4 linked regions of the Rhinolophus ferrumequinum genome follow. The protein of the gene in region 4 interacts with the protein of the main gene of each other region in a pairwise test. Links are inferred from orthologs where the notes say so. Each region holds a gene or a part of one and is shown on either strand. Other genes may lie near its edges. The genes, in order: NAB2, PDLIM7, TFCP2 and PHF1.

The links.
Region 1: the proteins of PHF1 (region 4) and NAB2 interact in binary tests that used the Homo sapiens proteins (3 or more experiments, as listed by UniProt). The two-hybrid records come from large-scale screens. The link is inferred for Rhinolophus ferrumequinum from reciprocal best matches to the Homo sapiens genes PHF1 and NAB2.
Region 2: the proteins of PHF1 (region 4) and PDLIM7 interact in binary tests that used the Homo sapiens proteins (3 or more experiments, as listed by UniProt). The two-hybrid records come from large-scale screens. The link is inferred for Rhinolophus ferrumequinum from reciprocal best matches to the Homo sapiens genes PHF1 and PDLIM7.
Region 3: the proteins of PHF1 (region 4) and TFCP2 interact in binary tests that used the Homo sapiens proteins (3 or more experiments, as listed by UniProt). The two-hybrid records come from large-scale screens. The link is inferred for Rhinolophus ferrumequinum from reciprocal best matches to the Homo sapiens genes PHF1 and TFCP2.

Annotation. Positions count from the first base shown.
Region 1 is NC_046293.1:56,142,771-56,149,738, reverse strand, and holds the start of NAB2 (NGFI-A-binding protein 2), read right to left. Parts: upstream 3,015-6,968; 5' UTR 2,856-3,014; coding exon 2,773-2,855; intron 1,336-2,772; coding exon 462-1,335; intron 49-461; coding exon 1-48. UniProt on the Homo sapiens protein: Acts as a transcriptional repressor for zinc finger transcription factors EGR1 and EGR2. Isoform 2 lacks repression ability.
Region 2 is NC_046307.1:5,128,154-5,135,685, forward strand, and holds the start of PDLIM7 (PDZ and LIM domain protein 7), read left to right. Parts: upstream 1-4,524; 5' UTR 4,525-4,644; intron 4,645-5,604; 5' UTR 5,605-5,615; coding exon 5,616-5,711; intron 5,712-7,532. UniProt on the Homo sapiens protein: May function as a scaffold on which the coordinated assembly of proteins can occur. May play a role as an adapter that, via its PDZ domain, localizes LIM-binding proteins to actin filaments of both skeletal muscle and nonmuscle tissues.
Region 3 is NC_046293.1:51,630,276-51,638,092, forward strand, and holds the start of TFCP2 (alpha-globin transcription factor CP2), read right to left. Parts: upstream 3,006-7,817; 5' UTR 2,933-3,005; exon of another isoform or gene 2,382-2,932; 5' UTR 2,322-2,381; coding exon 2,200-2,321; intron 1-2,199.
Region 4 is NC_046286.1:3,721,784-3,728,895, reverse strand, and holds the start of PHF1 (PHD finger protein 1), read right to left. Parts: upstream 3,016-7,112; 5' UTR 2,396-3,015; intron 1,644-2,395; 5' UTR 1,627-1,643; coding exon 1,468-1,626; intron 1,382-1,467; coding exon 1,300-1,381; intron 1,192-1,299; coding exon 1,096-1,191; intron 662-1,095; coding exon 561-661; intron 463-560; coding exon 314-462; intron 137-313; coding exon 41-136; intron 1-40. Other genes in the region: kinesin-like protein KIFC1, read right to left, coding at 3,976-4,020, 6,542-6,617, 6,734-6,807, 6,897-7,112. UniProt on the Homo sapiens protein: Polycomb group (PcG) that specifically binds histone H3 trimethylated at 'Lys-36' (H3K36me3) and recruits the PRC2 complex. Involved in DNA damage response and is recruited at double-strand breaks (DSBs).

The sequences.
Region 1 (6,968 bases), on a different chromosome or scaffold from region 4:
TGTGTTGTCCCTCATGCAGAACTGGGCAGCAGCCTCATTGATGGTCAGCTGTGGACAAAACCGCCAGAGCAGTCAGAATCCTAACTCCCCACTGCCTGTCCAGATGTCCTCACAATCCTTCACCATCAGACAAATGAGGCCCACCCGTCAGATGCTTGCTTGGGTTTTGACACTATGCCGATTTCTGAGGAAGACAGAGGTCAGCACCCACAGCTTTTTAGGGGCCTGGAGCCTCCTTCACTCTTGTGTGGTCCTGAGCAGATAGGACAGGTAGGCTCTGCTTCCCCTCACTTGAGGAGGAAAGCATTGCAAGAGCTGGGGTTGGAGTGGGAGAGAAGGGGTCAGGGGCGGGGGTCCTGGTCAAGGGGTAATGAAACAGACTTGGGAGTGTGCAGATTCTCAGAGGTGAGTAGGTTGAGGCCTGGCAGCCAAGAGCAATCCTGGGAGGCTGGGGTCCTCACCTCATGCAGGCTGAGCTGCTTGCCCTCCCGCCGCTTAGAGTCAAAGCGGCCATAGATAATGCTGTATTTGCGGATCTCCTCCTCCTTCTGGCTGTCGTTATCATCCATCTCAAAGATATGACCCACACTCCGCGCCAGCTTCTTGTTCAGCTTCAGAAGGGAAGTCACCTCCCCAGAATCCCCCCTTGGGAAGCTCCGGAAGATTCTCTCCACACTCTCCACCACCATGCGGACCATCTCTGGCTCCAGTCTATCCGGACCACTCCCAGACCCAGTTGCTGCCAAACCCCCAGCCCCGTTCCCCTCAGGGACTCCTCCTGCTGCAGGTGGGGAGAAGGAGGGTGAGCCAGCCTCCTCTTCTCCTCCCACCCCAACATCAGACTCTGGAGTGCTCCGGCCTGGCCAGATTCGGGCATCCCCAGTCCCAGGTCCCCCAGGCAGTGGTGACAGCTTCTCTCCAAGTTCAAGGGGGCTCTTTGGGCTAAAACTGCGAGCACTGCCCGCCTTTTCCCCTGGGCTGCCATGCCCATTGCTCATGCTCCCTTTCCGGGTGCCTGCAGTCTCTGATATCTTGAAGAGCGGAATACTGGAGACTGGCACAGCAGGCACTGGCTGACTGAAGAGCCCTGGATTGGTGGCCCACTCTCTCAGTGCCTTCTGCAGGCGTCGGACATGGAGGGGCTTGGTGGCCATGCCCACAAGTGCCATGATTTCCAGGAACTCCTCCTCACCCGCCTCGCACAGTTGCTGCACGTCGTCCCCTCCCTGCTGGATGAAGGTCTCATAGTAGGAAAGAAGATTGGCGCGCTGCAGGACCCGGTACAGCTGCAGCTCCCCCAGTGTCCGAGGAAGTGCCATGGCTCGGGCACTAGGCCTGAGGAGGAGGAGCACAAGAGATAGAGGGGGGCAGTCAGTCCTCCTACTGGGTACCAACCCACACTCACAATTGTCTTCTTTCCTGCCTGCTCCTCTTCCTCTCTTTTGAATGCCCTTTCTGCCCAGTGCCCAGACTATGAGAATCAGGCACTGTTCAGAGGCACAGACACGCCAGTGCCATCCCAACTGACCAGAAGTACCAAAAGCCAGCCCAGTCTCTGCAGAAGTCAAAGTCTCTTAGCCTCTATCCACAGCTTTTACCTTTCTGGCCTGGGCAAGGAGACCTTGAGCACTGAGGCGAGTCAGCACACCCCAGGATGGCTAGTTCTTCTCCAGAACATGGTCCTCACCTTCCATTCTAAATACCAGTAGGTCTGCCCATTACTTGGTGATATCTCACACTGAGGTGAATGTAGGACACCCCCTTCCCATCCTCCCCATAGGGGATACCTTGGACCATTGCTGGCCAGCTTCACTCCCTAGTGGCATCCTGCCCATGTGCCTGAGAGGGGTGTGGCCCCTTAGCTGTCCTTTCCCATTCTGTGAGCCCGGTGGACCTCTGCTCTCCTCGCTACCCTCAGCTTTTTCCACCAGTTAGGCATTCTTAGCACACTCTTGCTCTCTCCTTCCAGGACCTCCCCTCTGCTCAGTGCCACCCCTTCCCCCTCTAGCCCCTCTCGCAGCAGTGACCTTCCCCAACTGCTCTGTAGGTAGGCCTGTCCCTTCAACTCAGGCAGGGGGGAGGGGAGGAGTGCCTCAATTGTTCTTCTCTGGGCCTGTTCCGCCCACACAAACTCCTACAGTGGTAGCGTCTGCAGGCGAAAACCGCCGGGGGGCTCCCGCCTACCCTCTCCCTTATTTTCCACCCACATCTCAAGTGGAGTGGGGGAGCGGCTCAAGTCCTCGTGAGGGAGGGGCTGCACGCCGAAACTCCCCTCCCCACACTGTAAATAAAGGTACAGAAAATCCGAAAGGACGCCTAGGGTATCCCCTGCTTCTCCACAGCCCCGTTGATACTCTCTTGGATCAAAAGCGCCGGCTTCTGCCGGATCCCTGGGCTCGCGTGCCCCATGCCAAAGACAGGCTGAGCCAGCGGAGCGGCCCTCCCCCGACAATGCTACCAGCTAGAGTTCCAAGGCTTCCCCTGGCGCTTGGGGGCCCCCACGTTCTTTGCAGGGGGCTCACATGCCAGGTCATGCCCATAGAGTAAACGGGGGATGAATTAGATACTGTTCTTTCACATCCAGCTTCATCAAATCTCCTGCCTGCTCCCAGAGCCCCCTAATTTGAAGACTCACCCCCTTTTCCATCAGTCTCCACCCCCCACCTCCGTCCCGCTTCCCCTCGTCCTCTCAGCGACCTCCGCCCTCCGGACCCCTTTCCGAGTCCAGCTCCACCCATCTCCACTCCCCGCCGCTTCCCTTTGCCCACTAACTTGAGTCTGGGCTGCGGAGTCCGGCGGGCGCTGTCCCCTCCGCCAGGCGGCTGCTCGGCTGTGGGGGAGGGCGCTCTGTGCATGGACGGCCGGAGACCACCGGGGCTACCACTCTTGATGCCCGGCGCTCGGCGCCTGGTGCGCGCTGCGCTCTTCCCGGCGCGCGAGGCCGTGTCCGCCGCGGTCCGGGCTCCGTCCCTCCCTCCACGTCTCCTCTCTCCAAGCCTCCGCGACTCTGTCTGTGCCTCTGCCCCCCCACTCCCCGGTTGCGCTTGCCGCCTCTCCGCGCCTCCGCCCCCGCAGGACGCACGGGGAGCGAGGCCCCGCGCGGTGCTGGCTGCTGGGCGGGCGGAGGGCGTGGGTAGAGATGGGGGCGGAGGCCGGGGGCGGGGGGCGGGCGCCCGGGCCTCTCCGAGGGCCTCGGAGACACCGCGACGGAGAGGAGAGGCGGAGACTGGGGGGGAGGGGGTGTACAGCAGGAGGCGGGGGCGGGGATTCGGAGCCGGGGCGCCGAGGTGGGACTAGGGTGACCGAGGCCGGGATAGGGAAGGCGGGTTTGGGGACCTAGCGGGAGGGGTGAGGTCGCTCCATGCCACCCACGCCGGATGCACAGCCGGCCCTCTTCTCGCCCACTTACCCACGTGAGCACCCAGGAGGCGACATTCCTCCCCCCTCCGCGCGGAGAGCGGAGTTTCTCAACCACGCACAGGTACACAAAGACACAGAGAAACGCACGGACGTACACACGCGCCTAAACAACTACGCGGACGCCCACTGCCCACACTCAGGACTCGCGGTGGTGGACGTGTGAATGTTAGGGGTGAGCCGAGCAAAGTTGGCGGAGTTTCAGGGTGCGCGGCTCCTCTCGTGCATGCATCTGATTCCCATAGTGTGTGCATTTGTGGCAGTTCTGTGCGATTGGGGCTTTGCAGGAATCTCTTAGGTATCCCAGCGCTCTTCTCCGGCCAGGAAAGGAGTAATTTGAAGAGACCACTTTGGGAAACCCAGGCCTTCCCCATCCCTGCCTCTAGTTCAAGCTGAAGTTCGGGGAACAGGAATGGGCGGGTTATGCTAGAACCTACCACTTAGACGCGTTCATTAGACGCGTAGGGTTTTGTTAGCGCATAGGTCAGGCAGGGAGGGGAGGGATACCCCGCCTTCGTCTACTATTCGTACCCTATTTGCCGAGGATGGGAACCTGGTCCTGGGGAATCCTGTGTGGCAAAGCTGGGATATGGAGAATACCCCTTCTGGGGGGACGTCTATTAGGGAACTTCGCTCGAGAGTCTAGTGGAGAGTCTAGTGGAGGCTGGGCAGGAGGCCGGGAGCCGATGGCGCGGCTCCCTACGGAGGAGCTGGAGGGAGGAGCTCCTTCAAGGATCCTAGCCCCTTCCACAACCCACCATCCCTCCCCCCTTTGTTTCTTCTAGCCCCATCTGGTTCCCATTACACTCCCGCCCACGGCTGGGAGGACTGGGTTGGGGACAGGCGGGGGTTCTGAGGGCCTGGCCCTGCGGCTCTAGGCCCAGAGGAAACGATGGCTGGGGGAAGGGGGAGGGAGACTGGAAGCGAACAGACTGGCCAGAGGCAAGGTTCCCTCGGTCTGAAGCCTCAACTCCGCCCCATCATTCCGCAGTTCTGAGTGGCCCGGGCCCGGCAGGGCGTGGGCGGCGTGTGCGGAGGCTGGTTCTACATTCCGGCCTGGCGAGGGGACCTTTCGGTCTCCGCTGGGGGCAGAAGAGGAGGGGTACATCACTGGAGGGATTTCAGTAGCTAAAATTCTCTTTCCCGCCCCATTAAGCCCCAACCCAGTGTGGGGTGATAGGACAAAGCTGAGTCCCTCCCTATCCCCTATCCCGCGACTGGGGGGCACGGCTAGACAGGCTCCTTGGGGGGGTACTCTCCGACCCCCTGTGTTCTGTGTGGGCGCCCTTCCCCCATCCCCCTCTGGTTATTTTGGAGTCTGGGCTGCCAGTCGCTGGCCGCGGGTTTCCACGTGCCTCCTCCCTCCCCCTGCCCACGCTCCCCGTGACGCACATCCTCCGCCCACGCAGCCTCTGCTGAGGCGCCCCCCTCCCTCCCACTTGGCCCTCTTGGGGCGGTGCTGAGCCCCCGTATCCTGAGGGAGACGCTGGACTGAGGAAGAGGGCAGTTACCCACTGGGCGCCGGGCGCCTAGGTCCCACCCCAGGAAAGAAGACGAGGGAGGAGCCAATTCAGAGGCTTTCACTCCTCTGTCCTGGGGCGGGTACTCGGCCGAAGAGGGGAGAAAAATCCCGCCGACAGAACCTGCCATCTCCCCTAGGTGTCTGTCGGCGTAGGAACCTGTGTGTGAAACTCCTGGGCGTTTCTATCTTTGTTTCTCAGGGTTGTCAGGAGGTTCAAATGAGAGGACGTATGTGAAAACTCTGTAAATACATTGTAAAATGCTAAGCAAATTTAAGATATTATAGCCAGTTCGTACTTCTGTAGCCAGAGACTATGTATTTATTTGTATGTGTTTCTTTACATCCACTGTGTATCTGTGCCTCTGTCTAGGTTTGTATGTGAGCCCCTATGTGTGGATTTTAAAATGTATACATTTAAAAAATCATTGACTTGTCAAGCCCCACCAAAAGCCCAGAGCACCCCCGCAGCCAGGGCTGCTGAGATGTCTGTTCTTTGCTTCCCTCCCACTTCTACCACCCCCATCTTCCCTCCTACTCCCTTCCGTTGAGAACAAGGAATTTCCAGTCTTTAGCAAAAGGAGAGACACAGAGACAGAGAGGCTGAGACTATGAGAAACTATAGAAAAACATAAAGATAAGGGGTGGTGTGTGTGTGGAAGATGACAAAAAGTGGGTGGGACAAAGATCTTCATTTCTTCTCGTTTTCTGCGTGGGCTCCATTTTCTCCAGGGTGGCCCAGGACCACTTCCCTACTTGACTTATCTGCTCCCCCCACCTCAGAGTTCTCATAGGCACGCAGAGCTACGGATCCCCTTTAATGAAATGATTTATTGTCAATGAATAATTTATTAATAAATAATTGACTAATTTATTGTCTATAGTGGAAGAGTCCAGGATGGGAAACAGTATCCTCAGTCCCAATTTTCCAAGAAAAGGGGAAAAGACGGTGAAGAAATTGGGTGAAAGAGGAGTGAGGAAATCCCGAACCTGGCGGACTCTCATTCCCAGGGATGTGTACATTTTAATTAGCAGATTGCACGTCTAACCCGCATCCCCTCACCCCGCCCAATTTTTCACCAGGCTGAATCCAACTTACTTTGCAAGGTCTGGCTCAAATGTCACCTTCTTGGACCCTCTCCTTCCTGTACTCCCTCTGGGCAGAATTGCTCCCATCCCTCAGTGGCCTCATGGCTCTGTGTACACTCACTTATAGTTGCTTGTTTCACCCATAGCCCAAGACCTCTGCGGGGTAGCTCGGGTATCTGGTGGGCCCTCTGAAACAAACGGGTTGATGATGCTATTTCTAGGCCCGAGCAACTCTGAAAAGGGCAATTGACATAGATTTTACTCCAAAAGGAGCTGAACGTGGGCAAAACTGTTTAAGTGGAGACATTTGTTTTCCATGTCTCCATCCTTCTTAAAGTTTCCAGCAAGTCTCACAAGTCTGGTTCCTTGACCTTCTAAAATGTCCACTATTCTGGTAAATTAATTCATGCCCAGGTGTTAAAGGTAGAAGGCTGAAATCTTTGCTGATAATAGAAAAATATAAAGTAATGATCCTTTTTTCCTTTTTCAGTAACATATTAGAATTATAGTCTAAGGAGTGTTATCCTTCAATTTAGGCATCTTTGAGGAGGTGCTTCACTGTGCCTCAAAAAGACAAAGGAACTGCCTTTAAGGAGCGCATAGACTCGTAGGGGAGATGATAGACGGATAAACAACTACAATGTAATGCAATAATACGGGGTACAAACGGTGCCATAAGTATAGGAAGCCAGTGATCTATTCTGCCTGGAGTTGTGAGGGACAGGTTTTGACAGACATCTAAAGGAGATGATGCAGCCTGGGATTCTGAAGTCTGAACAGATTTCCAGAAGGAAGCCACAGTCAAGTCAGAGAGAGCAGAATGTAAACTTACCTGGAAGTATGAAACAATATGTTTGAGAAACTAGAAATTGTTAATTATTGCTGGATGGGTGGTGGTGGTACTTAAAAAGGAGCCCAGGGAGGTGTACGAGGCCATTAAGGA
Region 2 (7,532 bases), on a different chromosome or scaffold from region 4:
CTTTAGTGCCAGGCTTACTGTCCTCCCCTCCTGCTACTCCTGTCACCACCCCTGGGATCTCCATGTACACGAGCATCGTGTCCCCGAGGACCTGGCCTCCTGGCCCGTCGACCACAACTCTGCCTCAGCTGCCCCATACCTTTGGCACATCCTGAACTTCATCTTAAAGACAGTGATGCTCCATTGTCACTTCACAGTGACACAATCATTTCCAAACATCTGCCTTGCCACCTCTCCTTCCGGCCCACTTTTTCTGAGGGTACATAGGGCTCCTCAGCTGCCCGGAGCCACAGAGACCCTTCTTGCACTGTCTGCACGACTGCTTTCCACAATTCCATCCTTGTCCTACTTAGATTCTGCAGTCCCCTAATGGAGCCACGCCCTGCACGCCCTGCTCTTATTTGTCCAGCAAAGCCCCAGCCTCCAACAGTGCCTGGCAGTTGCCCATGGCCAGAGACATTAGAGAAATTCATGTAACCAGGCTGACTGCACTCTCTTCACCAGCGTGATCTCAAACCTCACGGAGACAGGCTCTCCATGCTGCCCAGAGATCCTGTGAAGCATGGAGAAAACCAGAGTACCTGGGAAAACCAGAGTAGCTGCTTTTTCCCTCCCCAAGACCTTCACCTTCTCTCCACCCCTGCCCATTCCCACCTTGCAGATATCCAAACAAAGAGTGGCCCACAGAAGTGAAGCGCCTCCACCTCCTCCCACCTACAAGTGCACCTGCACTGTCTTCCCGACCTATGTTGGAAGAAGTGTCTGTTCCCAAGACGTCCGTGCTCTGACCCCAGCTCTTCTCCCCTCCTCACAGCTCGGCAAACTGACTTGTCTCCTCTCTCCTCGACCCGTTAATTCCATCCTCCTCATTTCCAGCCTCACCAACATGCTCTATAATTTCACATCTTTAAAAGAAACCTTCCCTTGACCTCAAATTCTCCTTCAGCACCTCCCCACTTCTCTGTTCCTCTTCACAGAGAAAGTCCTCAAAAGAGTTGTTGATTACTCTCATTTCCACTTTCCTCCATTCTTCCTTCCGACTCGTCTCCCCGTGGTGCCCACTACACCATTACATTGCTCTTATCAGGGTCACCAACCTCCTTGTTCCCCAAAACAAAAGCCGCTGGACTCCCTTTGGGACCAGGACTCGCCCCACGTCTCAGCAGCACTTGACACTCCTCCTTCACTCGTTTCCCTCCTCCCCTGCTCCAGCTCTGCCTAGGGCTCTGGCCTCCGACACAGTGTGACTCAGCCCTGGCTGCACGGAATCACCTGGGAGCCTTTAAAAGATGCCCACGCCTGGGCCCACACCCAGGGGCTAGGGCTTCAGTCCAGCCATTTCTTCAATTCCCCAGGTGATTGCAGAGTGCAGCCAGGCTTCAGAACAACAGCCCTAAGTGAGCCAATCCTGTCTCCATGTCTCCCAGACGTGGCGTACCTTCAGTGCAAACCTCTCCAATGAGCTCTGGATTTAAGTGTGCAGCTGTTCAAGATTCTGGGTGTCTAAGATTCATCTCCAAATGTCATGTGAAGGGAGGCTGGGGGAAAGGGGCTGCGTGCAGTGTGGCCACAGATGGCAAAGCCTGAAAGGATGTTTCAGCCACGGGGAGGCAGATTTTGGCTCCACTTATGGACCTTCCTTGTGATGGTAACGTCTTCTCATGAGCCATCTGGCTGCCTGCCGTAGAGCAAGCTGAGACAAGGAGGCTCCAGTCAAGTGTCTGCTGCAGGGACCCCTCCACCCCATGGTGGCAATCCAGCCCTTGCCAGCTCAGCAAATCCCAGTTCACACTGTAGGTTACCGAGAGTGTCAGGGACATAGCCAGAAAGGACCCAGGACTCTGAGTACCCAATCTGGTGTGCTTCCCTTTATTACAAATCGAAGCCTCTTTGTTTCATGGCAGTGGCTGTGAGCTTCCCACCACACTGGAAGCAAAAGTCTTTGGAAACAGATTTCTGGGATTTTAGGGTCGTTGCCCTGCCGCTGCAAGTGTCCTGGCCACGAGGGGGCAGTGTGTCCTAGCCCAGTGCCTTTCCCTACCCAGGGGCTGCCTATGCAGGGAGATCTGGTGGCCTTCCAGGTCTGAGTCTTGCACAGTCCCAAGGAACCAGATCCTGGGGTCCTCTCTGCTGGAGGACTGCCAGGACCCCCCGGCTGACCCTTCTTCCTTCGCTCAATTTCTGTTTCACCCTCTCATTTTTTTCCTTCACAGCAGGGACACTGTGTGCAGGCACTGGGGAAAATATGGACAAAACAGACAGCCCCTGATCTCATGGGACTGACATTCTAATGGGGACAAAGGGCAATGAAGAAACAAACACTTAATATAATGTCAGATGGTAGTAAGTGCCCTGGGGAAAAATAAAGCAGGATAGGGACTAGTGCATGATGTAGGTGAGGTGTCAGGGGGCTGCTGTTTTAGATAATATGAATCAGGGAAGGCTCCTCAGAGGCAACATCTCAGCAGACACCTGAACAAAGTGAGCGAACCTGTTGTTTAGATAACTGGGGGAAAATGTCTCAGGCAGAAGGAGCCGCAAGTGCAAAGGCCCTGAGGCAGGAATATGCTTGACGTGTTGGAGGAGCAGTGAGGAGGCCAGAGGGACTGGAGTAGAGTGACTGAGGAGGAGACAGGTGGGAGGTGGAACCAGTTTATTAGTGCCATGTACATCTTAAGGACTTTAATTTTATGTGCAACATGAGCCCACCAGAATGCTAAAAGCCAAAGGTGATGTGCTACAATTTTTGCTTTAAAAATATCATTTTGGCTGCTGCAAGGAGAAGATTCTGGAGTGGGTCAGGATAGAAGCAAGGAGATGTGTTAGAAGACTGTTAAGGGGTCTAGGCACGAGATGGGTGGCAGCACCGATGGTGGCAGTAGTGACCAGATGTGGAACATATTCTGAAGGAGGAATTTGCAGAATTTGGAGTATGACAGAGAAAGGAAGGAAGGATAACTTCATAGTTTTTACTGGACCAGGTGGATGAACAGTGGTGCCATTTACTGAAGTGAGGAAGGAGCTAGGGAAGTGGGAAAATCACAAGTTTAAATTGGGACATAATGATTTGCGATATCTAGTAGACATCAAGTAGAGAGGTTGGACAGGTGGTTGGCTATTAGAGCCTGGCGATCTTGCGGGGAGGTCAGGGCTACACACATAACTTGGTAGTCCTTGGCATATGGGTGGTATTGAAAGCCACAGGACAGGAGGAGGTCTCAGAGAGGAAGTGTAGAGCGGAAAGATCTGATGGCCAGGCTGGGGGACAGATGACGACCTTCCAAGGAGGTGGAGAAGCAGCAGCAATGGAGGAGGAGGGATGAGGCTGGGGAAAGTTGGAGTGCGCCTGGACCAGTGCTGTTCCTAGGTAGAGTCACAGGAAAGCTGAAGAAGCACCACTGATTTGATAACTCAGAAGTCTTTGGAGACCTTGAGAAGAGGGAATTAGTTCAGAGAATTGAAGTGGGGAGGACAAGAGCCCGACTGGAGTGGGTTCAAGAGAGAACAGGAGGAGAGCAAGTCGAGACAGCATGACAGAATTCCTTCGAGGAATTTCACTCTCAAGGGGAGTAAAATAAAAGAGCCATAGCTGGAGAAGGACGTGCGGTCAAGAGAGGATTTCTTTAAACACGAGACTCGTACAGCAGTTTGTGTAGTGAGGGGAATGATGTACAAGAGGGGGGAAATGAGATGATGGCGGAAGGGGGCGAACTGCAGTGCCCATGTCCTAGAAGGAGCTGAGTTCACTCACCCGCACACTCCCGGTCTCTGCTCAATTTCCTCCTCTCCGCCTACGCTGCTGCCCAGGTTGAGCAGGGACGGAGGAGCAAAGTGGGGACTCTGACACCCCCACTGGAGGCGCTGCCCGCTTTGGAACGGAGTACCAGGACACATCCCACCTCGACAGTGTGGGGCCAACCCTGAGCCGTGCTAACCGACCAGGGTCAGAGGGCAGGGTCACAGGGCAGGCTCAGGGCCCAGCCAAGGGGCCCCTCCTCTTACTTCCACCCACTCCTACCATTGCTTTCTGCTTTCAGTGCTGTGCAAACATAGCTTCAAATTTCCCTGTTCCCCCTTCAACTGACACCAACTCGATGTGTGCCCCCCACCAATTCCCTCAGCCGCCGATGGCTGAGCCTTACGCCAAACAATGCTTGTCTTCACGGCGGCCCTGTGAAACGAGCATTATCGTCCCATTTTTCCGAGGAGGAAATTAAGTTTCAGAGACGACTGTTTCCAAAGGCGGCTTTCTTTTCAGTCGACCAATAGGAGGCGCAAGGGGCTGAGCGAGCGGCGTCGCGAAGCCCAGGCCCCGCCCAGACCGCAATCCAGGCCCCGCCCAGACTCCATCCAGACCCCGCCCAGACCCCGCTCCGGCGAGGGGACCCTGGCGGGCTGTGTTTTCCAGCTCAAAGCGAGATGGGACTTCGTGATTGGGCGGGGCGGAAGGATTGGGTGGAGCTTCCCACCGCCGGAGAGGCCAGTAGGGGGCGTGACTTCGATGGGGCGTGGCCTCGGGTACCGCCCCCTTCCGCGGTCTCAAAGCGGACGGCGGACGCGGGGGCGGGGTCAGAACACCTCGGCCAGTCCCAACGCGGTTCCTTTGAGCCCGCTGCCGAGCAGCGCCCCGGAGGGGCAGAGCAGGTACCGGTGACCGCGCGGGAGTTTTGGGCTGGGCCAGGGAGGGGGCTGCTAGGGAGCACAGAGGACTTTAGGGGTCGTGGCCAGCACTGAGCTTCCTCCCGCGGGCGCGGGCCCCTGCCTTCGACCCCGCCTCCGCCTCCGCCTTCCTGCGGCGAAGCCGGCTGCGGCGGGGCCGATTGGCGCCTGCCCTGCTTCCTGCCCCCGGGACTTGTCCAATATTGTGGGGCCCAGGCAGGGGAACCAGGGGGAAACTGAGTCACGTCTGGATGTAGCAGGCCTGTGTGGGAGGCACCACTTCCACTGAGCCCCAGGATGAATCTCCTTCCTGGCCATGCTTTGGGGTCCCAACCCCCACCGATTTCCGCAAGGGCCGCACCCCTGCCCGCCCCCAACCCCCAGCGCCCAGGGGTCCCGCCCTGGCTCGACTGGTCCCGGAATGGCTAGGACCCGCTCCAGCCCCCTCCCTTTCTCCCCCTCCCCCCGGAGTCCCGAGCCCCCGGGTGCTCCCTCGGCTGGCTCTCTGCACAGTGTCAGCTTACACGCCTTATATAGTCCGAGCAGGCTCCAGCCGCGGCCTGCCTGCTGGGACCTGGGGGCGGGGGAGAGGAGCGCCGGCCCCTGACTCACCCCACCGAACGAAACTCAAGGCTGGCTTGGGGGGAGGCCGTGCCACATTAGCTCTGCCGCCCACTCCTGGATGAAAAGAACCTAAAAGCTAGATGCGGGCTCTGCTCACCCTCAACAGTCCCTGGAGGAGGGGGGTTGTTCCTGTCTTTCCAAAGTGAGACCTGCCAGCCAACAGTCCAGCCAGACCTGACAAGGAGAGGAGCCTGACTACCTGTGCCCTGGGTGTGCTCAGCATCTGCCCTTGCCTGCCTGGCATCAGTCCAAGGCTGGTGTATGGAGCTGCACGTGCTTGTGTACCCACCATACCAGCCACTCACCTTTCTCTCCTCTCAGGAGAAGGCACCATGGATTCCTTCAAGGTGGTGCTCGAGGGGCCAGCACCTTGGGGCTTTCGGCTTCAGGGAGGCAAGGACTTCAATGTGCCCCTCTCCATCTCCCGGGTAAGCCTAGGTTGGGGGAGGGTCTCCCTCAGGAGTCTTTGGGTGCTCCAGTGTGTATGGGGAGTGTGGGAGGGATCTGAGCAGGAGTGAACCAGGGCCAATAGGCCAGGAGGTATCCGGGTCCAGAGGTGTGGGGGGCACCTGCCATGAAGACTCCCAACTGGGTTACTGGAAGAGGAGCCCCCACACTTCCCCAGCACTGCACTGTATCTGATGCCACTCCAGGAAGCTCCTGGGGCCACCTCTGAGGCCCCAGGGGTGCCCTTTCTGCAGGAGGGGAACCTGAGGTCTCTAGGAACTGTCTGAGCAGCTTGAGGGAGCAATACTTGGAGCCAGGCTCCAGGCAGGGCACTCTGACTGCAGGATCTCACTTCAACCTCTTTGCCACCCAGGAAATAGCCATTATTATCGTGGTTTTCCACATGAGAACTCAGGGCTGAGAGATGGAAGGGCTCTTTCTGAGTCCATGGTCAAGCAGGAATTGGCATTAAGGTACTAGGATAGCTGCAGTTTGTGGGTAGGACTCCGGGTGGGTCTTCCAGCCTATGTGAGGACCTCCATCCCCACCCACTGGTCCCTTACTGGATGCAGTGACCTTTGACCCCTAGTGGGTGTGGAATGAGGTGTAGGGCTCTGACCAGCTCCTGAGAGCCTGCCCTGGTGGGGGCGGAGCTGGGGGCTGGCTCCTCCCTGTGGCAGGGGGATTGCCTTATAAGCCAAAGAATGCAGCCCCACACTGGGATGGCTAACTGGTGGCTATAGTCTGCAGAGCCCAAAAAGGCTTGCCTAGGCCTGGACCCCTGAAGCCCATCAGTGGGTGCCTCAGCTGGTGACTACCAGTCCATGGCTCCAGTTGTAAGGCACAGAGAACAAACTGCCTACCTAGGCACAGTGAGGTCAGCCCTTGGGCTGGAGTCTGACTAGTCTGGGGGTTAGGAGGGGGTGGGGACTTCCTGCCCCCACATCCGCCTGTCCAGAGAGGCCCACCCAGGCATCTGGTGGGCAGGCAGCTGTTGGCAGGAAGCCCAGGGCAAGCACAGCCCAGAGGGGGCCAGAAGGTTGTCCAGGCACTGCCCAGCCTTAGAGGTGCCCCAAGGTGGAGTAGGTCTGTGGGAGTTGGGCTTGGTGGCCAGGGCAGGGAGTTGGTTACCGTTTTTCCCAGGGACTTTTCCGAGGGGTTCCCCTGGAAACTGCCCGGTCAGCAGGGTAGTTAAGGGCAGTGGTCCCCCTAACACACACACACACATACACACACCCCTGTACAATCCTCAAGCCTTGCAGCCCTGGAAACCTGTCCTATATCCCCCTCCCTGGGAAACTGCTGGCTAGTGTGGCTGGGGAGCTGTAGGCCTTGGCTGGCATCTGAGCCTCAGTTTCTTCTTTGGACGGGATGGGCAATGTAGTGGTCTGGGGGGTGTACTTTCAGATGTGGCCTTTTGGGGGCACTCTTGGCTCCCTTGTCAGCAGCCCTAGCATGTGGGTGGGACCACTAGCTGAGCCCAGCCCTGGAGTTGGACCTGGGCCCTAGTGGGTGGGTGGGTGGGGTGGTCTTTTATGAGCTGGGGCGGTTCTCTCCCTCTCCCCTGACCCCAGCATGGAGGGAGGGACTAGGGCTGGCTGTGGGCCCAGGCCTGGGAGATGAGGTAACGTCTGGGACTGGGGGGTTGGGCTGCTCAGTGGAGCCCTCAGGCTGACTCACCCCCCACCTCATGCAGTGTCCAGCCCCCTGGCTTTTTCCCCCTCTTTGGTCGCTCTGGCCTCCTTGCTTCTCTCTCCAGTCACCATCCCTTCCTACTATCCTAGTTCTCCTGCTTTTCTCTC
Region 3 (7,817 bases), on a different chromosome or scaffold from region 4:
TTCATAGAGATGGAATCATGTTGAGTGGTCTTTTGTGACTGGCTTCTCTCATTCAGCATGTTTCCAGGGAATCTCCTGTATTTTAACTATAAAGTATCTGCCATGTATTAAAATGTAAGAAAAAATGTGAGAACATTAAAGAACCACTTATGAAAAGAACATACTAAATACAATGGCAGATCAATAATCAAAAACAGAAATCTAGTTAAGATGAATCTCTATAAAACAAACCATTAAAATAAGCAAAATAGAATAAAATAAATATATTACAAAAAAATTTTTACAAAACAAATTGCTTGTCAAAGAAAACGTTTTCCCTAAGGAAGGTGTTGGAAAACCAATCACAAGGTCTAATTAAAAGGAGAAACAGGAAGAACAAAAAACCATTCCTTGCCTTTGTCTATCAAAACCTCTCTAGTCAGTGTTTCTCAAAATGTGGTCCCTGGGCTACCTGCATCAAAATCATCTAAGAACTTGTTTTAAAACATCGAATTTCTGGTCTGTGCCCAATCACCAAAGATGGAACCCTGGAAACTACTTTTAATAAGTATTCCAGATGACTCTTATGAATACTAAAGTTTGAGAACTAGTATCTTATTAACACAAATTAATGCAAATGAGTAAAAGTATGCAAGATCTAAGAGAACAGTGACAAGAGCAAAACGCATGAAAAAAGGTGAAAAAAATAAAATTTTGGCACATTGTGCTCCTAAGAAAACATTACATTTGATGTTTGAAAATGATGTTTTGAAAACTCCTCTGGATTTGATGATGGCAAAAAATTCTAAATGTGTAAATATGCAAGCCATTCTTACTAATATCTGTGAAACCACTCAGACACAGAAAGCACTCACCAGTATTAAGGTCGCACAGTAGAGTGCATAGTAGATAAACAAATGTTTGTTGACAATGTTAACTACTTTTATAACAAGTGCAGTTATGTTTAATTATCTCTATCCTAAACTCTGATAACCTAGGCAAAAACTGAGCATTTTGCTGTGGTAATCTTTACATGAACAATAGCATAAATTGTCAAATATTATGTCAGATTATGGCATGCAAGCTCAGGGTCCAGACATGTACTTTCAGACCAAGTTAATCTCTATTTTTTATGGTCAGACTCATGTAAACAAGAACAGGGAAAACTAGAGTTAAATTTCTCAAGACTAAAAGCACTGTGTGATAGAACTCAAATTTCCCTGAAAATCACTAAAATATGCATACACGGAGAGCCTTTATTATTCTAACTGTAAGCAAAGATTCCTGAAGATGCAGTATTAAGTTCTAACTCATAATTTTATTTCACGAGGAAAGTCTACTTTGGTTTAACAGGGGTAAAGAAAGGATGTTTACATTATGTAATTCTCAAAGGATCTTACTATCAGAATACAAAATTTGTCCACTTTCTCCATGAAAAGCATCTTTCCAAATTAAAGTGTTATGTTCTACAGTCTCTTTTGACTCCCTTATTTAGCTTACCCAAATATTTAGATGCAGATGTTTCAACATTTCCAGACATGATTCTTACACATCTTATAAACGAAACAAACTATACTGGGGGAATGAAGTAGCTAATGCATGCAAATACACTACATGGGAAAGTTATGTTGCTTTCAAAGAATATTTTTATTTACTATCACCATTTGCCTTGAAGGTCTAGAAGCATCTAAAAGCTCTCTTTGACAGTTTTTCATTTTACAGGCCTTGTGCAGGCTATGATACAGATGTGCGGACTTCTTCACCAAGGTCTCACATTTCCTTCCAACAAGCACTCAACCAATATTCATCATAACCACCAGCTCCCAACTCCTCAGCTCCCTAGACATCCCTCCCATGTTCCATGTGGCCTCTTTTTCACGTTAAGTCCAGTCCAGCCTATCCACACACACACCATCAGTCTCCAAGGCTCCCACATTGGCACAACAGCCTCTCAACATTAATCTGGTTGCTAATCAAGGGCCATTCTTCCTTCTTCCTCTGACTGCGGACATGACACTGCCTAAAATCTCTTGCTCCATGTCTTCCACAATACTCACTACTTAGAGCGACGAAAAGAAACAAGTCCCTTTTCCCTAACCGCCGACAGCTTCTTTAACTCGAAACACTCCCGCCAACTCCCCCCGGCCCCCATCCCTATTCTCTGTCCTTTCTTTGCCTTTGTTATTCAGAAGGTGCAGGGTCTGGGAAAATCTCACTCACCTCATGCTATAGGCACCAGCACCCAGTTCCTGGCCGATCCCCGAGAGACTAGCATCAAAGTCCTGCACCAGCCCGGATTCAATCACTTCATCCGCCAGAGGCAGCTTCAGAGCCCAGGCCATCCTGGCTCCTTCCTTGCCCCAGGAGACACCGTTTCTTGCACAAAGGTGAGTAGTGTGATTCTACCCAACGGGGGCAAGAATGCAGAAAACTCCAAACCAAGATCTCCCACTCAGTACCCCCCAGCCGCCCCCCAAGCCCGACCCGCAATGTCCGCACACCTAAACTCCCGTACCCTTGGCTCCTTGTTCTGGGCTGTCCAGACTTCCAAAATCCCTCCCACCCAGCTCCCTGGAGCCGTGCGACGGTCCTACCGCTTAATTATTCCAGACTGCCCAGACGCAGCCCTGGACTCCCACTCCCTAGGCTCTCCCCGTTTGGTCGTGGTGGTCACTCGCTGCTTCCCAGAGGAGCAGCAGCCACCCGCTGCCTACCCAGCGCTCCCACGCCGCTTCCGCACCTTAACCTCCCGCCCCCTTCTGCTGGGAGCCCCCTCCTTCCCGGGGACCCAGTCTCCCCGTCCCCTCCAGGCCTCGCTTCCGGTCAGCCCCAAGATCACTTCCGGTCACCCCCACGGCTCTGAGAACTACATCCAGGTTCCTGCCCGGCCGAATCCCTGTCCCCTGCAGCCCCGCAAGCCTCGAAACATGGAAGGAGAAAGTCCAGCACGGACTTGAAACCCAGACTCGCCACGCTCCTCCGCCGCCCGCCGCCCCAGCGCCAACCAATCATGGCGCCCCCTTGCTTTGCCGGTCCGGCGAACGTGACGTGACCCTGTCGCTCACCAATGAAAAAGAGACTTCGTCGGCCTCGGCAGTGATGATAGGTTAGTTAACCCATGGCTCCCCGCCCCGAAGATGGGCTGGGCGATCTGGGAGAGGACCTGGTGTGCGTCAGGTATCTCAGTTTAAACGTCCCTCCCTGTGGCTACCCTCGGTCCGGCACCCGCTAGATACTAAGTCCGCACCCTAAGGCGTGGGTGGAGCCTTTGCTGTGGTTTTCCCAACCCACACCCACCCCTGGCGGACCCGACCGTTTCCGAGATGCTCCCTAAGTGCGCTCTTTTGCTCCTGGAATACTCTCCTTAAATTCACCTCGCTGGAGGTCACGACTCTGCTTAAGTCCCACTTCCTTCTATCGTCATCCTATCTTCTTCATTCTTCTTAATGCATTGGAACAACAAGACATAAGAAAGGTGAAAATGTGGTTTTTAAAAGGTGGTGATCTGAGGATCAGCATTTGGGCTCGCGTCTTCACTTACTAGTTTGGTGACTTCAGAATAATTGCTTAATATCAGTGAAATTAAGCTTCCTCATTTGAAATGTAGGGATAACCATACTTGTTCCACCTTCCTACTGTGAGGACTAAATAATAATGTCCATTGTTTATGGAGCGTCATCTATATACAAGGAACTTAATTACATTATCAATAATCCCCAAGACAATCATGTAACTAGAACTATAATTCTAAAGGTAAGTATTTTACCAGCAAGCAGAGAGGGGAGGCTAAGCATTTAAATTGGCCAGAGCTAAATTGATGTGCCAACTTCAGAGCCTGACATTTTTCACAAGACATTGCCTATATGTGAAAGTATTGGTTCATTGTTGTAGTCCATTGTTGAATTTTTTACAGTCTGCCTTGAATTGAAATATTGTATATATCTGCCTTTTCCACTAGACCATGATCTATAGAAAATAAGTCTTTCTCAGGCTTGTGTTCTAAATATCTCCTAGATACTTCCTGCATTCAGTAGGACTTTTTAAAATGTAAAAATACTTACTGAATTAAAAAAAGAAAGAGGTTGACATGAAGTTGACAGTATGTCCCCTGTTTCAGCCACAGGCTTCTCTTTTTGAGGGCTCTAGGCTTACCCATTTTCTTACCTTAATAAGCCCTGGCATCCAAGTCTTAGTTCATTCCTGTGACACGCAGTATCTCTTCAAGCCATATTTTCTTACCTTGAGGCAGTTTTATCTCAAAACATGCCTATGGGTTAAACAAAAAAAAATGGGTCCTGGGCTCAGAAACCAAAAGAGAGATGTCATAATCAAAATTCTTTGTATTCAAGCATTGTATCCTGGGTATTTAAAACATCTATTAGGTAGAAAACCATGCCTTGACGGACCAACAGGTCGATGACTAGATGCATAATCTTGGGCAAGTAACTTTACATCTCTGAGCCTCAGTATTTTAATCCATAAATTACTGAAAGAAGGTATTAACCTTCTTCCAAAATTATTGTGAGGATTAAATAAAGTGCTAAGATGCCACATAAATAATAATTATTCAATAAATGTTAATTCCAGTCTCCCACTAGCCCATTTCTGCTTCTCTTAAGATTGGGTGGGTATTATTATCCTATTTAAAAAAATTAACTTACATTGTATGGTATCTTATGGTTTTAGTAGTACTTTAACATATATTGTCTTATTTAATCCTCATAGAAGTTTTTGTTTCTTTTTTTAATGTGAAGAACCTGAGACTGAGAGAGGGCAGAGTGATCAAGCTCTATATATAACTTCTTTAGAAATTTTCCTGAATATTACTCTGTGATTCAGCAACTTCACACTACCCTAGAGAACTCATACATATCAGGAGACTTGTATGAGAATGTTAATGGCAGCATTATTTATAGCAGCAAAACAAATGTCCACCAAGAAGAAAAAGGATAAACTAGAGTGTAGGAGAACATTACACAGCACTGAAAATGAATACAGCTACTCTCAAACACATGAATAAATCAATCTTAGAATTGTGGTGGGAAATGCAGAAGTCTGTGCAATGTGACATCACTTTACAAAGATCAAACCCCAGAAAAATTAAGCAATATATAATTTAGGGAAATATACATACATTCCTTTAAAAAGGAATGAAAGGATAAACACAACTCTAAATGGTCACATTAAGGAAAGGCAGGGGAATGGGCTAGGGAAGGAACTCAAAAGTAGCTTCAACAGTGGTTAATAGTCTATTTAAGGTGAATGGTAGGTCCGTGGGTGATTGTTTCATCATTATGCTTCATAACTTACAAAAAATATTTTCTTGAATTTGTAACAAATATTACATAAATTAGCAACTGAGCCAGGAACTACAATCCAGGTCCCTGATTCTCTTAGCTGGGCTTTGTCTACAGTGATACCTCTCTGCTGGTGGTACAAGTTCCTAGGAATTGCACAGATACAGAGCAAATAGTAGCTAATAAGGACAGTCTCATGTTTACTGAGCCCTTCCTAAGTGCCAAGCCCTGATTAGGTGTTTTATGTATATAAAACATTTCATCCTCACATCACTCCTGTAAGGAAGATACCATTACTAGATTAATTTCTAGATAAGGAAACTGAGGCTTAGAAAAATTAATTGGCTTCTAGGGTCACTCAGCTTGAAAGTGGTAAAGTCTGACTGACTGACCTCGTAGTCTGGGCATCTAACCATCATGCCACCCTGTCCCTGGGGATGGTTATAACCTTAAAAAGATCTGCTTCCTTCCTGTTCTTTTCAGAGATGAATTTGAAGCTTGTGGAAGTGAGAATATTGAATTTTCAGAAAATTGTGCCCATGAGGCATATTGGAGGAAGGATGTTTTCTCATATACAGAAAAATAGCTCAAAGGGAATGGATTTAAAATAAAACAAGGAGTATTCAGATTAGATGTTTGGAAGAGATAACTGTGCCATATCCAGGAATCTCAATGGAACTTTGTTCTCTGGAAAATATTTAGAAAAAGAAAAACATGTATTTCTTGGAAATGTTTGAGCCTATGTTTAAATTCTGAACCAAAACAGAGACTTTGCAAAGGTTTTCCTTATCTTAATTCTGATTAATTCTAAAATAAACAGGTGAAATGAAAGGTGATTCCTGAGCCTTGGCCTGTCCCAATTGGAATGCAGATCAGCCTTGAGATTTATGTCCTTGAGCCTAGTTCCCTGAGGGAAGAAGATCCTTGGAATTCTATTACTGGGAGGAGTGGACTTTTTCCTCCTCCCCTTTCCTCAAAATAACTAAGAGTGAAATTAGAGTGGCAGGGCTGGAAACCCAGGGATGCCAGGGGCAGTCCTAGGGGCTCTGCCTCCAAGAAAAGATCACCAGTGTTTTCCTGGGAACCCAGCAACACTTACCAAGAAACCAAATTTTTGCAGTTATAAATCCATCCCACAACAAAAATCATGGCTCTTGTTAGACATAATAAATATCACTAATTAACCAGAGAACTTGTGGCACAGAGTTCCAAATTCAGTATTCTAGACCATTGGGTAAAGTTAAGGCTCATTGTGAAGGGTTCTTGTCCCTAGAATAGGTCCTGAAATTAGACTGGTTTAGATGGAACATAGCAAGGTTTACCCTGGTGGGTGGAAACATGGAAATCCTACCAAAGAGATCGGGAAAGATAGCAATCCCCAGGTCCCACCCAGTAAATAAGAGGTAAGGTTAAGCATACAGGCTTTAGAGACAGCCCACCTGTGTTCAAGACCTGATTCAGCTGCTCACAAGCAAAGCAACCTTTAGTAGATTCCCTGTCTTTTCTATACCTCAATTCCTCATCGGTAAAATGGGTATAATAATGGTTCTTACTTTATAAAATATTATGGTGAGGATTAACTGAAATAATGCATGTTGAGTGCTTAGAAGAGAGCCTAACACAGTCAGTGATCAGTGAGGGTTAACTGTTATGATTGACAAGAAGGGGACCCTAGCACCTATCCTACCTACCTCTTAAGACAAAACAATTCTCTCAGAGGCTTGAGGGCTCGAGCTTCCTGGACCAGTACCCTTCCATCCCCTACGCTTCCCTTCTCATTCATTTACTCAAGTCAGTCATTGTTGCTGGGATCAATCACTGGGCTTTTTCCTCTAGGTACAGAAAGAAATAATTACCCAAGCAGACATTTTTGAGGGGCTGACCATTTAGCTTTCACTCTACATTTTCCTACATCCCACAGAGACAGCCCATGAGGCCCAGTCTGGCTTCTTTGAAGGACCCTGCAGTTGAGAGACAAGGAAATGAAAAAAATTTCACACCCACGCAGTTCCAAGGAAGCTCAGGTTCCCTTCAACTCTCTCATCTTGAGTCCAGAAACCAGCCCACATCGTCTCTAGTTCATAAAATGCCAGTTCTCCCTTCACAGCTGTCCACAGCACATGGAATATCTGAGATATTGTGATTTATAAGAAATACATATATTAAAGAGAAAACCCACAGGCCCAAAATGGCATAATTTGTGCTAAAAGCCCATGATAGCAATTCTAGATTTAATAACTGATCTCATTGCAGTTTTAACCTCTCCTAGAAATGCAATCATGTTTTTTGTTGTCTTTCTTGGAAATTGTATTGGTCCTGGGGACAGGAGGCAGGCAGCCCCTGCCTCCCGCTGAGGGTGCCCCAGGCTCTCATGTTTCCTGTTACCATTGAGGGGGCCGTTCACAGTGCTCAGGGAGGCCAGGAAGACCTTGAGCTTGGGCGGAGCACTGAGGTGAGCACTAGGCCTAGAGCTGGGGAAGGAGTCCAGGCCGCCGGGGCCAGGACCTGGTGATTCAGTGGCAAGTCCAGCAGGTTGTCATC
Region 4 (7,112 bases):
AGAGGGCCCCCTGGGCTCCTGGAGAGTGCCCTGGTCTCACCTGTCCCCATAGAGGAGAGGCTTGCTCAGACACTGGGTGCAGGCCTCATGGAACCACTGCAAGCAGCTCTGGCACTGCAGCATTTTCAGGTTCCACCTGAAGGGGACACGGGACTGGTGACCTCTAGACACTCCCTCCTTAACTGCCCCAACCCTGCTCACCACCTACTCCCACCCCCTTCAGCACTCCCCTCACCATTCTTTCTCCATTCCCTGGGGTTCCCCCACCACCACACTGTCACTCATTCATTAACCCCGCCCCCTCATTACTCACTCCCCAGGACCACCACAGTAACAGTAGCTCTGCTGCCGGTTGCTCAGATGTCCAGCATCCCAGTCCAGCCCCTTCAGTCCATATGGCAGAGATAGCTTCATGCCCAGCATGGCTCGGGCATAGGGGCCCTTCTTCAGTGCACCCCCCCTCTGCAGAGAGAGAACCGGCAGGCTGCTTCAGAGGGGTGGGGAGAGAAAGACTCGGGAGAGGCTGTGGGTGGGAGGCTCCCACAGGAAGATGCCTTTACCTTGGTGGCGATGGCAAAGATGCACTGGCGGCAGACCCAGGATGTGCCCTCTCCCTCTCCTGGGGCTGGGGCCCTTGGAACATGGCAGTCCTGGTGATAAGCTGAAGAATGATATTATCGATGGTAGAGCATTTATTGCATTGCAAACCTGCGTGTGCTAGGTATCAGGATAGGAAGAATCTTATCTCATTAATCCTTGACCATGGTCCTGGGGAGGGGGAGGGGTATTACCCTTATTTTACAGGTGAGAAAACTGAGGCTCCTAAAGGTTTAGGGACTTGCCCAAAGTCCTATGGTTTGAAAAGGGAGTATTTGAACCACCCTCTGCCTGCAAAGCTCACACAGCCCCATTCCATGGCTGCCTTTTCCTATGTTGGAAGGGAGTGAGACTATAGGTTCAAGGAGACTGGCCAGAGCAGTAGCTTGGGGACGGAGGCCAGAATAGGTGGCATAGGACCAGTCCTGGTGGGAAGGGTCAGAGACCGCCCAGAGGGCCTAGGGCAAGCTGGACCACTCAGGTGTCCTGCCCTCTCACCGTGGCGACACTTCTCACAGCTGACCAGCCGGTTCCCAGGGACCACAGTCTCAGAGCGACAGACACAGCAAAGGAATTCCTCCCCGGGGAGGGCAGCTATGAGGGAACACAGTGTCAAGGAACCTGTCCTTAGGTCCCCTTCTCTCCCCCAAGCCAGGTTTCTGTCTTCCATGGGAAGCCACTCCCAGGCCTCTAAGATCTCACCAGGGCTAATGTCTTTCCATAGAACCAGAAACTGGGAATCATCCTCAAACTGGACCAGACACACCTCCCGAGCACTGTCCACCTGGAATGGGTGAGCATAGAGGATGAAATGGGAATCAGCATTAGATAAGGGGAATGGGGAGAGGTGACAGGTCAGAAGGGTCTTACCTTCTTGATGGTCCCCAAGTATAACAGCCCATCTGTCCATCTGGCCAGCACATCTTGACCCTCCCAAAGTCGAGGCCTGGGGCCTGAGGTGGGAGCAGGGGAAGCTGGGTCCCAAAGTGGGGGGGCACCAGAGCGGCTCAGCCGGGGAGGCTGTGCCATTGCATCCTGGGGGGGGCCTAGCCAGAAGTGGAATGGGAGGAGAAGGTTATGAAAGCCAAGAAACCTTCCTTATTTGCCTATTTTTCTGTCAAGGACTGAAGCAGCTGCACACCCCCCCCCCCCACCAGTCTCCAAATCCCTGAGACACCTGGATAGGAAACCAATCAGCACCCCTCCCAAGCTTCTTGACTCCAGCTCTCCCAACTCTGGTGACTGCCTCTCCTCTCCCTAACGGCCCCCCCCACCCCCAACCTAGTTCTCTAGTTTCCCAGCTTCCAGACCTCCCCTGGGATATTATATCCTGGCCTTGAGATTTTAGCAGAAACAATGGTTGCAGAAGCAAAGGTTACCACTCAGTTTCTACTGTCACCTTCTCCTGCTGTTTAGAGGTATCATAATTGGGGTGCTCTGTTACCCAGAGATGTATTTTGGGAGCTTTTCCAGCGATGTTTTCCAGAGTAGAAACAGCTGCCTCCCTGGGCCCGCGTGTCTCATTCAGAACAATTATCCTGATGTCAGGTTATGTCAGGTCGCCCTCAAATTCGGGGCTCCCTGCCCTCGGGTTAGATAACTTCCCTGAGTGCCCCGGGAGGGGGGCGTGTCCCAGTCCCAGTCTCTATTACCCACGACCGCGAGTCCAACAGGGGACTTCAGTCGGCCCAGCCGGACCCGATGCCAGGGCGACGAGGCTCTCCCGCTGGCGCCCTGCGCGCCGACCCCCGGCTCCCTGCTCCCCCCCCACCACGAGCGCCTCCCGCCGCCTCCTTACCAGTGACAGCTGGGGACGCCGGGAGCTGGGCAGAGGCAGACGTGGGAGACCGAGGCGAACCCCCCGCGCCGGGAGGGCACGTCTGGGCGTCGGGGGGCGTGCAGGCAGAGGCCGGGGGGTCCCCAGGCCCAGCCCCTCCGTCCCGGCGGCTCTGGGGCGTATGACGCAGCAGCCAAAGCAGCGGCAGCGGCAGGAGGAGGCGGCGGGGGGAAGGAGGGGAGGGGAGGGGAGGGACAAACTGGCTCGGGGGGAGGGTGGTGGGAGGGGAGGACTGGGGGGAAGGAGGAGCCGGGGGGCGGGGGGACGGGCACTACTTCACCCCACCTCCCTCACCTCCAACAGGCCTGGAGGGCGCCGAGCCAGCGGCGGCCTCTCCGTTGGTGGGGCGGGCGGACAGTCTGACCTGGCGGGAAAGGGAATCCCCGAAGCCCCTTCTTCGGAAGGGAGACCCGCCCAGGGGGCAGGAGGGAATCCCCCGCCTCCCGGCAGCCCGCCCTCCGGATTGGCCCCAGCCCCATGCCACATCCGTTAACTGCCCCCCCAACCTCCATGGTCACTCCAAGTCCCGCCCCCGACCCCAGTTCACGACCCCGCCTTCCATTCACCCTTCCCTATGCCCCCTCCGCGCCCACCTCCCTCTAGTGCCCCGCCCTCCTCTCCCGCCTTTGCCCCCGCCCCACCCTCTAGGTGGCAAGTTGTCCCCCCTAGCTTCTGCGCACGCGTGACCCCTCCTGCGCGCGGCACCTGGGAGGGCCGAGCCCCTCCTTTCTGGGGCGGCGGCCGTTGGCTGTTGGCGCGACGGTCTCGGCGGGCGTGAGCCCCGCCCCGCACTTCCAGGGCCGGGGCGCCGACCAAGGAGGGCTAGAACCCAGGCGGTGACGCCGCCGAGAGCCAGCCAATGGGCAGCGGGCAGGGCCAGGCCTGGCCGTTCGAACGCGAAGGCCGGGAAAGGGCGGGAGGAAAGAGCCAGCAGTTAATGGGAGGGTGTGTCAGTCCCGTCCTTGGGTTCAGGTGGCCACCTTTCCGGAGCTAGGGTGGCCTGTGGCAAGCGGGGAAACAACTAGTGGCTGTGGATAGCTAGTGGGCACACCTCTTACCGTGTTTCCTCAAAAATAAGACCTAGCCGGACCATCAGCTCTAATGTTCTAATGTGTCTTTTGGAGCAAAAATTAATATAAGACCCAGTCTTATAATTTTTGCTCCAAAAGACGCATTAGGGCTTAGAGCTGATGGTCCAGCTAGATCTCATTTTCCGGGAAACATGGTAGGTGTGGACAACCAGGAAAGTATGGGAGCTGAAGGCCACTCAGGGTACAGCTTGTCAGGGAGAAAAGCAAAGTGCAGGCTTTTGCACTGCAAAACACAAATTGCTGGGCAGAGTGGACAGATCCACAGCCCCATATTTACAGATGTGAAAAATATGTCCTTTCTTGAGCAATTGCTAATAAAACCTTTATTTGAAAAAAAACCCAAAAAACTTTTCTTTATTTAATAGGTCCAGGTAACACAGTGCCCCCCCTTCCCCCCCCAAATCACCCTCTCAGCCCCAACCCCCCAACCCCCAGGATCTGGATCTGTTTTCATTTCCTGTTGGCCTGGGCAGTACCAATAACACACTGGTTCACCTGCGGGCAGGGGGGTTAGACAGGATAAAAAAATTTTCAGAGTAACCAACAGGCTGGGTTTCCCAAGATCAACCTCCCAATCCCCATGGTTGGTTCTATGTCCACTAGGCACACTAGGTCTGAAAGTGGTGAAAAGGCCTGAGAAGGGATGGGAGCCCCACCACACAGGAGCAGACAGAGAAGGAGCTTTCATTTCTAGCAATACTGTGGATTAGAGACCCCAAATCCTTCCCATCACTAGCGCTGAATAAACTAGATAGAACAATACCAACACTCATTTAGGAACCAAGGCTCCTTGGAAAATGAATGATTCCTAGTCTAGGGCAGGCAATGTACAAGATGAACCTAGAATAAAGACTACTGGGGACCTAAGGGACACAAGAGTCAATTTGAAAGAGCTCCCACTGGACAAAGATGGAGTAATTTGAGCATAAAAAGAATGAATGACAACTGACAAGGACACATATCAAATACATAAGCATCTGTAAAGATAACCCCTTGATAAAAACTCACTGTTTACCTTTGGAAGTTGCTAGAGTATCAATGTATACTTAAAATTGATAAAGAATTCAACATTTATCCCAACTTTCCTATATGGACTGAATTTTAGAGTAATCAAATAGATGGCAATAGGAAGCACTTTATAGAAGAATCTGGGCTAATTAAAGTAGAACTGAGAAAATCAGGAAATCATTTTTAAATAAAGTAAAATAAAGAATAGAAAAAAGAAAAAATAGGAAAAAACCAAAACTTTTTAAAAAGTAAAAATAAAAATCATCATCATCATCACCATTTTAACTCAATGAAACAATAGACCTAGGTATGATCATTGTTTGATCAAATCACTAGGTAAAAAAGTTGATAGGGAGTTTTTTAATGGATAGATCAGGCTGACAATACCCAAATCCAACGATCAATTTTTATATCATTGAAAGTGGAACAACTAGATATTAGGTGCCTCCTGCTATGATGCAATAGAACGTGTACAACCCCATGTAAGTTTTCTTGCTAAGAAATTTAAACCTGACTCAGATCTAATCAAGCCTCTAAACCTAACTCCTAAGACAACAACAATTATGGAAGAAAAAGGCAGCAACCAGCCCAAATCCAGGATATAGTTATTCCATAGGACAAATCACCCAATTTCTTCAACAAATAAATGCCATAAAAGAAGGCAGGGTTGTTATAGATGAAAAGAAACTTAAGAGATCATTTCAACCAAATAGTATGAGTAGCCCTTGCTTCGATCCTGATCAGAACAAACCAAAGTATAAAAGACATTTTCTGAGACAATCAGGTGAAATGTAATATAAACTGGGTATTAGAGGATATTAAAGAGTTCAAGTTGTTGGGTGTCAACGATTTGATATACCTTTAATTGAACTTGCAAGATAGCAAGGTAAATCCTGATTAAAGCAGAAGACCAGGTCAGGGTGCGAAGGCGGTTGACTACTTCCATGGCAACAACACAGGCTGAAGCCTGAGTGCGGCAGAAAGGCACACGTGATCAGAGACTCTTACTAAAGCCAGAACCCATCACAGGGTATAGTCTCAGGGAAAAAATTTCCCTCCAGAGGCAGACTGTAAAGAAACTTTCTGACTCAGCTCTAGAGGAGGGAACATAAGTCTCCTAGAGAGTTCATAGCCATGGCCATGGCTAACCCTCGTGGGGTTTGGAGCCTGAACTCACACTATTTGGAAAAACCTCTAAATCTCCTTTGATCCAGCAATCCCATTTCAAAGAATCCTTCCCTAGATAGATAGATGTAAGTAAGCAAATAGAAAATGACATATGTACAAGGTTAGTCAACATGGCCTTGTTTGTAACAGAAGAGGGGCGGAAACAATCCAAGTGCCTAATAGAGGTGATAAACGTCAGTGTATCCACAGTGGAGTCCTAGGCAAATATAAAAATAATGGGATGATTTCTGTGTGCCTGTGGGGAGTAATCTTCAGGTTGTCTTGTTAGGCGAAATAAAGTGTAGAATAACATAAATCTAAGAGAGGGAGAGAGATGTCTTTTACTCGTATGTAAGAAGGAGGGGAATAAGCACAAGTGTATTGCTTGTATTTGCAAAAGCAAACATTCGAAGAATAAAATGATAAGTGATAAAAATGACAGGTGGGGAGCATGGGGCGGACAGGAGTAGTATATAGCTTTATATGTAGTTTTGACCTTTTAACCACCTCTTTTTAAAATCTTAAAAATCCCTAAAAAGCCAACAGGTGAAAAATGGATCTATAGGGAATAGAGTCAATGGAATATATCAGTCAGAGGGGCAATAGATTGGGGGGGGGCGTTATCACTTTGTGAGGGATGAAATGGCTAGTGCATTCTTTTGTACACCTGAAACTAATTTAAAAAAAATGGATCTAGGTGGGTAGTGCCCCAGACGCCTGGCCAACATAAATCCTTTCTGGATCAATGTGCCCCTGGCCTAAAGGACAGAAGGGTTTGGGACAGAGAAGCCCACAGTCACCCAGGGGTCCTGACAGAGGCTGGGCTTGGTGGTAACCGCACCTTAGAGGCAAAGCGTAGGGAGTTGAGGGACTCGGAGACGTTCTCTTCTAGTGGGGAAATATTCACAAACATGAGCCTGTGGAGAGAGGAAAGGGGGCCAAAACCCTGCATTAGTGGCTGGTGGAGCCTGGACCCCGTTTCCCCTTTCCCACCCCTCACCCCAACATCACAGTTCCGACCCTTTCCACTCACATCTTGGCGCTGCCACCCAGAGAGTTCTGCAGCAGGTAGGTGAGCTTGCTGTTCCGGTATGGCACATGGGACTCCTAGCAGGTTGAGAGGGACAAGTGACTAGGCTAGGATCGGGTTCAGCATGGTCAGCTCCAGGCCCCACCTGACCCAGCCTCATTCCCACCTTGTTGCTCAAGGCCATGATGACCAGCCCCAGTGTGGACAGGCTGCTGTTAATGGCCTGTGTTTCCCGAAGACGCTCCCGCTCCCCAGGGCCAAGGGCTAAGCCGGGGTCTAGACGCTCGCTCCCAGCCAGGTCCACAAGATTGAGGCGGGCCCCACACTGTAGGCCTCGTCCAGTGTGCTCCCCAGAGATCTGCAGCTGGAACACACTGTGGCT